Linked DNA regions of Kluyveromyces lactis. The protein of the gene in region 1 purifies or fractionates together with the protein of each later gene. This does not show direct contact. Links are inferred from orthologs where the notes say so. Each region holds a gene or a part of one and is shown in the gene's direction. Other genes may lie near its edges.

The links.
Region 2: the proteins of TRA1 (region 1) and SGF73 purify together in Saccharomyces cerevisiae (affinity purification with mass spectrometry; 8 studies listed by BioGRID, with this or other methods). This does not show direct contact. The link is inferred for Kluyveromyces lactis from reciprocal best matches to the Saccharomyces cerevisiae genes TRA1 and SGF73.

The regions. Positions count from the first base shown.
Region 1 is NC_006042.1:2,059,387-2,063,760, reverse strand, and holds the start of TRA1 (histone acetyltransferase TRA1), read left to right. Parts: upstream 1-1,433; coding exon 1,434-4,374. UniProt on the Saccharomyces cerevisiae protein: Essential scaffold subunit of the transcription coactivator SAGA complex. SAGA acts as a general cofactor required for essentially all RNA polymerase II transcription.
Region 2 is NC_006038.1:214,083-217,663, reverse strand, and holds SGF73 (deubiquitination module subunit SGF73), read left to right. Parts: upstream 1-1,445; coding exon 1,446-2,921; downstream 2,922-3,581. Other genes in the region: PGC1 (phosphatidylglycerol phospholipase), read left to right, coding at 1-870; ALG2 (GDP-Man:Man(1)GlcNAc(2)-PP-dolichol alpha-1,3-mannosyltransferase), read right to left, coding at 3,038-3,581. UniProt on the Saccharomyces cerevisiae protein: Component of the transcription coactivator SAGA complex. SAGA acts as a general cofactor required for essentially all RNA polymerase II transcription. At the promoters, SAGA is required for transcription pre-initiation complex (PIC) recruitment.

The DNA.
Region 1 (4,374 bases):
CAGCATTCACGTTTCACTTGGTATACACTGATTATTATTAGCCTAAGGAAACACAGGTTTTTAAGTTGTCAAAGGAAAACTCTCTCTCTTTCTGCCTTCATTAACGGCTTTGATTATTTTCTTTCCCTTGAAGGGTTCTGATACGCCTGGTCTTTATGCCACTGATAATGCGGATCAAGGTCGTGATTCCTTAACTTCTTTTGCCTAATAACTGGCAAAGCTTTTGCCTGTCTACTTATCGTCATACAGATTCTTGACACCAGTTTTTTTCCGGTTCTTTTTTTCAAATACGTGATCCATTTGGTACGGGATTCTTTACCAAATGTGATGCAAAAAGTGATGGAAAAGGATATTTTTTCTACATGATGATCTGTGAATTTCACGCCACACTCTGAGCCTTGGTTGAAAAAACATGAATGCAAGGCGTACTTCTGGTTTTACAGGCTTTCGAAATGGAGATGAAGAAGAACAAAACAACGTAGTAGAGCTACTTTCAGCGCCTTTTCAAGGATAGAGTTAAATTCTTGAAGGAATTTGTAAGGTACAATGTAAAACAATCTATCACCTGGTTATCAGGGAAGCGCTACAAAATTGTCGAATCTTAATTAGAGCTGTACGGTGCTGGCCGAATGAACCCTTTTTTGAGAACCGTATGTAGATCTTTGTGAACTGTGAATTTATGCACACAGATTACGTCACACAGTCCAATCAATAGAAGCAGTTAATGGTTCCAGTAATAGCTAAAGGGGGGGTATTGCCTCATTTTTCGAGTTGGTAAGTAAAAACGATATTCGTTTAAGTTAGCCGCCTTGAATTTAATCGACGATTATGTTGTACTTGTTTTAATAAGATGTTGTCCGTGAAAAACACGAGTTATCGTGAGCGCTACTTACCCTTCGCCATTGTTCTATCTTTCGACACTCAAAAAATTATGCACATTGGCTGTCCGCTTATCTGCTAGAGTAACGTTCACATTTCGTGCGTATTTTTCTGTTGATGATGGCAAAGAATAAAACAAATACGTAATTTTCAATGAAAAATTAATAGCCGGGTAAGTTATTCGGATCATGCACGTGATCACTTCCTAAATAGGAATGTCATCACGTGATACAAAACTTTTCAAGGTCTACAGAGGTTTTTCAAATTGTTTTTCTTGGTACCAATTGTTTTCAAATTTCGATATGACATTGAAATCTGTACTCTCAACCAACAAAAGCGTAGTATTGATTTCAAACGAATACACGAACTTCAACCACCAAAGCAATTATAGCGCCTTATCACTAGACAACAGGTTCTATCAGCTAGCTTCGCATTTTTGTTCTTTTATTTCAACTTGCATCCTCCCTAATTCATTAATTTCAAAGGAAGACGCGGTCTGCAATTTGATTCTTTATTCAATATAGCTGAGCTGCAACGATTGTAACTTATAAGCAATGGAATCAACTGATACTCATGAGAGAATGGACACTTTTGTCGAAAGAATCAGGGATACTGAAGATGTTGCTGAAAGACATGCCATTATATCAGAACTTTACGATGTTTTGGATGTTGTAACTTCTTCAGTCGAATACGATGAGTTTTTGAAGAAGTTGTTGCCGCTCATTTTATCACAGTTGAATGATGATCAAATCTCAATGAATGCCTCATCTCCTGAACACAAGTTGAGAAATACATGTCTAGAACTTTTGAATAGATGTCCACTTAACGATAAAATGGAACCTATGGCCATGGAAGTGCTGCAATGCCTGTTAAAAATATTAACCTTAGAAAACGATGAAAATGGTGTCTTGTGTATGAAGATCCTCACTTCGTTGTTCAAATGCTATAAGCAGCCATTAGAAAGTGAAGTGAATACGTTCATTAAAATTATCGTTGGAATATATGAAAACGTACCGAACTTGGTGGCATCTACTTTCCTTGGTGAAGAAGAAACCAGCTCATCAACTGCAGATTCACAAGATTTTTCGAACTCTAATAATGAGGAGGATGCTTTCGAAAACTTGTCTGCACCGTCCAAGAAACATTTGGAAAAAGCTACAGAATCATTCAAGACTTTGTCTGAATGCCCAATTACAATGGTGACCTTATTTTCATCATATAAACATTTGATTTTAGTAGACTTACCGACTTTTTTACCACTCGTCATTGACTTACTCACTTTGGAAGTGAAACAACAGCAAAAATCCAGAGAAGAACTAGAAGCTAAAGGTGAAAAACTTATTGGGATGTCGTCAGAAATCAAAAACCGCTCTGCATTCTGTGATTATGTCCTAGCTCAAATCAAGGCAACTTCTTTCTTAGCGTATGTGTTTATTCGCGGTTATGCTACAGATATTTTGAAACTACACGTCAAGAAAGTCCCAGATTTGGTGATGAGATTATTACAGGACTGCCCAAGTGAATTATCATCTGCACGTAAAGAATTATTACATGCTACGAGACATATTCTCTCTACAAGTTATAAGAAATTGTTTCTACCCAAGATCAATTTGATGTTTGACCAAAAAGTCTTGATTGGTGATGGATTCACTTCATATGAAACCTTGAGACCATTAGCGTACAGTACCCTTGCAGATTTCATTCATAATATTCGGTCAGATTTGGCAATGGCTGACATAGAAAAAACTGTTAAAATGTACACCAGTTTTCTTTTGGATGAGTCTTTGGCTTTGACTGTGCAAATTATGAGTGCTAAGCTACTATTGAATTTAATAGAACGGATTTTAACTTTAGGTAAGAAAGACGCATATGAAGTTCCTAAGGCCAAAAAGCTACTAATGACGATTATAGAGGCTTATACTTCAAGATTCAAGCTATTAAATTCACAGCATAAGAAGATATTAAAACAACATAATGTCTACGAACAGAGTAAAAATAAGAAATCTAAGGAGATCCAAGATCAACTTGCGAAAGACAGGCACGATGTTGATGAATATATGGTTAACATCTTGAAATCAACAGACGAATTGTTACCGTCATCAGTTACTGTTGATACCAATGCCGACGTCGATGGTGATATTACTATGAGCGAAGAACCTGATATATCAGAGAAAGGTAACAGTTCGGTGCATAGTGATAATAACACATCACTGACTGTAAAGAATCAAGATAAAAATTCGGATATATCGTTCAAAGAAAACTCAGTTGAGATATTGGACTTCAATGATATACAAAATCATGCTCCAATAATTCTCTTCCAAGCGACGTCAAATGATCCTCTTAAGGACGCATTTTACTTATATCGTACTCTTCTTTCATTTCTGAAAACCATTATTCATGACTTGAAGGTTTTTAACCCACCCCCAGATGAATATACTACAATGAATCCGAAAATGTGGTCTGCATTATCAAGAGTATTTTCCTACGAAGAGGTGATCGTGTTGAAGAATTTGTTCCATGAATGTATAGCTGGTCTACATCTATTTTCTTCTAATCCAGAGGGCATTGATCCATCCACAGTAAAAGCACACTTCGATATAACTACACCTAGCTTACCTGTGTCAGCAACTAAAGATGGTCGAGAGTTGATGGATTATTTCGCTATTATTTTCATGCAAATCGACAGTCCTGTCTTCAATGAAATCGTTGAGAGTGAAATCGTCTTTATCTACGAATCTTTACTACGCGATTCAGCTTTGTTGCATGTTGCTCAATCATTCTTGACAAGTGAAATCACATCTCCCAATTTCACCGGTATTCTTCTAAAGTTCTTGAATTCCAAACTTCCAGAACTAGGGAATGTGGACAGTAACAAATCAAATATACTCATCAGACTATTCAAGCTATCATTCATGTCTGTCAATCTCTTCCCTATTACCAATGAGGCGGTCTTGTTACCTCACTTGAATAATTTGATTTTAGATTCTTTGAAGTATTCGACAGAGGCTGAAGAGCCTTTGGTGTATTTCTATTTGATAAGAACATTGTTCAGAAGTATTGGTGGCGGCAGATTTGAAAACTTGTATCGTTCAATAAAACCAATACTTCAAACTCTTCTACAGTCCCTCAATAAGATGATCCAGACAGCTTGTCGCCCTCACGAACGCGATTTGTATGTGGAGCTCTGTCTCACTGTGCCTGTGAGGCTTAGTGTATTGGCACCATATTTGAATTATCTAATGAAGCCATTAGTGTATGCCTTGGTTGGATTTCCAGAATTGATAACTCAAGGATTAAGGACTTTGGAGTTATGTATCGACAATCTAACTCCAGAGTATCTAGACCCGATTTTGGAACCAGTTGTCGGTGATGTTATGAAAGCTTTGTTCGATTTATTGAAACCGCAACCATTCAATCACCAAATAAGTCATACGACTGTGCGTATTTTGGGCAAGTTGGGTGGAAGAAACCGCCGCTTTATTGAGACACCCAAAG
Region 2 (3,581 bases), on another chromosome or scaffold:
GGATCGGAAGTAATCGAGACTGATTTACAGTTGACTAAAGATGGTAAGATAGTAATGAACCATGATATCAATACAGAGAGAGTTTGGGACCAAAATGTCGTGATAGGTGAGACGAACTTGGATGAATTACTACTGTTGAAGAGTAAGATAAATCCAGAAATCAGGATAACGACATTCAAGGACGCCTTACAATGGTTAAAAGAACACCCTACAATGAAATTTATGTTGGATATCAAGCCTACAAATGATAAGGTTCTTTTAATCAAGGCGATTCTTGAAATGAGAGCAGTAGTCGATGATTTAGATTTCTGGAGGCAACGTTTGATGTTCGGATTGTGGCAACTTGATTGGTACAAATACGGGGTCACCACGGCCACACTGAAGGGTTTCAAGATCGTGGCCATCTTACCCTTCACAGCGATGGCTACTAAATTTGTCGAATACTCTAAATCCTTGAGCGATGACAACTACAAGTTGCATGGTGTCAGTCTTCATTTCATTAACTCTTGGAAACCCGATTTCAAGAAAACTGTATTACCATACTTGCAAGAAAACAACCTTGCCGTATACCTTTGGACCGTCAATTCCGAAATTGACATCAAATATATCAGTAGTATGACCATTACCGGGATTATCGTTGATGATCCGGTAGCTTCAGTGTCAATTCGAGATGAGTACATTCGGAAAGCAGTGCCGTTTGTACCGCCAATTTTCAATAGCTCTGAAGGTTTTAGACTATACCTTAGACTTCGGGTATTCGAAGTGGCTGAAAGGATCCTTAGCTCAAGATGGGCCACTGTCCCAGTATTCCATGATATCACCTTGTTGAAAGTAACCGTTTTATTGTTAAGAAGAATCCACTTCATTTAAATGTCATTTCATTTCGTAGACAATCTATATAACACACATACCATAGGAAGTTAATATCCTGAAATATGTTATATTTAGCTTGCAATTCGATTATCGACGGACCAATTGGTGTGTGGGGGATTGACACATTCCATTAAGTCATATCACGTGATTGTAAGAACTTTCAAGTTTCCCTTTCTGAAAGTCGACGATTTCGACAGGAATAACATACCGATGGACAGAAACATTTCATAAGATAATACATGAATTCAGATGCTTGAAAGTATTTAGAGCGGGTGATCCAAAGATTTTAAAAGGCTTTTGAGATAGTTCTAACGTGTTATTTACCTGCCACAAAAGTTACTTTTGTACAATCAATATTGAGGGCTCACTTCATACCAGATTCTTTTTTTTTAACGTGCTATTTTTACCATAGTTAGGCACCAATTTGCATTACCACCGATAGACTCTGGTTTATTTTTGAAAGCTAGGTAAGGACAGTTTGATCATTGTTAGCTTGTCTCAATTCATTCATCATTTCCATCGTAATTCTCCCTATCATTTTTTTTTTACCTGGCTGATTTTGGTACAAGAGCATGTCAAGTGTCAATATAGAGATTAAAGGAATCAGATCAGACATTCAATTAGAAGATTTAGGAAGTAGCAAGAACGGTTGGAAGGAGTTACTGTCTATTGTTAAGAATAACGGGAATAGTTCGGATTTATCATCCACGGATATTCGTTCAAAATACTTGAGCAGGCCGTCAGAAGTTTTATCTGGCGTTTCTAAAGAGGATATCCGTTATAGGAATTGTACAGCTTGCCACCAGCCGGTATTGGTGTCAGCTATTATAGATCATTTAGAGAATCACTGTATTGATAAAATGCCTGTGAAAAAGAATGAGACGCAGGATATCATGTCTTCTCCTGCTAAAAGTAAGGGGAGTAATAAGAGATCCTCGTCGATAGATCCTGAGAATTTCGATTCACCTTCAAAGAAACAGAAATCATCCACTCCTTCTGGATCGACTAGAAAACAAAGGAAGATAAAACAGCGAAACCCGACAGAGCCACATCTGGTTAACTTCGATAAACAGTGTGGTGTACCATTACCTGAAGGTGGTGTTTGCGGTAGATCATTAACATGTAAATCGCACTCAATGGGAGCGAAACGTGCAGTGGAGGGACGGTCACAGCCATTTGACATATTATTAGCTGATTATCAGAAACGCAACCAGTTGAAATCTTCGGCGTCCAAGACTAGAATCCAAAAGGCACAGCAAAATCAGCAGGATCCACAAGTTAAACAAAAGGGGAAAGATAAAAACACTGGGAAAACCAGCAGCAATGAAGTGGTCAATGAGTCATTACCCAAATTGTCCCCTGAAGAAGAGACTACTCTGGTTTTGAACGGTGTTTCACGTTCATACCCACTACCGTTAGAAACTACGGTATTGACTTCTACACGATCAAGAACCAAGTACGTCAGAATGAGAGAAATGTTTGGGTCTGCTTTCAGTATAAAACCAGGCTTTAAGAGCCCTGGAGTTGGTGCGTTCCGCTCAAGGGTCGGTCTTATTGACATTGATAGAACGACTGATTATACGTTCCGTATACGTACGCCTCAACCTATTAACGCATCACCTCAAAACTTGACACCAGAACAGCTTCAAATATTACAGGCCCAACGTTTGAAACAACAACAGCAGCAGCAGCAGCAACAACAGCAACAACAACAGCGGCAACGACAATCTAGTGCTACCGGATCGTTATCTCAAATGCAAATGCAAATTCCACAGTCAGTTCAGGCTGGAAAACCTGCAGGGCAACAACCCATGATGACCCAGGGCATCACCCCTCGGGATATTCAAACTCAACAGCTAATAATGCAACAACAGCAACAGAAACTCCTGCAGAAGAAAAGAATGGAAGACGCCAGTGCTCAACTAGATACGGCTTCTAAGTTGATGCAGCAAACAATAGGCTCACCGGTTAATACTCAAAGTCGAAGCAATTCAAATCAACCTGGTGTTCAATTTGGTGTAAATGGATATGGAGGAAGAGTTAATTAGTGTAATATTTAGAAACTTAATAGCTTGTTAACGTCTGTTTTTCATCTCTTAACTTTGAGGGGTATGTGTATATATTTTGCACAAGTCGTTATAATAAATTAAGATTGGCTTCGCTTTTAAGTTGAATAGTTTAGGTAACAGAAAACGATGATCCAGTACACAGTGGCCTTTACACTTCTTAATACAAAATAAGAAATCGCAGCTAGCAATAAATATGGCCAAGAAGCATCGCCTGTTATCAACAGTGTAGCATATTGGACAGTGAACATCAGTAGCCCTGGAGCTAATGTGCTCCATAAACGCGTTCCTCTTGACTTCCAAATAATATGGTCGATGGTATTATCAAAGTTTTTGGACATCGCTTCTCTGGAGAAATAGTACTTAATACGTTTAGGACCGTTAACTTCGAATAAGGAGTGATTCTTTTCAAATATGTCTACGGATTGATCCAACACTTTTGACCATTCATCAGCATCGGATGGTCGTAACCAACCAGTTGCATCAATATGAGAAGGTGTCTCATTGTAATCTACCACTGTTTCTAGTGGACCACCCGTATCTACTGCCAAAACAGGTACACCATACTTCATAGCCTCGAGTGGTACAATTCCAAAGTGTTCGTTAGAAGGAGTGTATAGCAACATTTCAGTACTTTGCAAT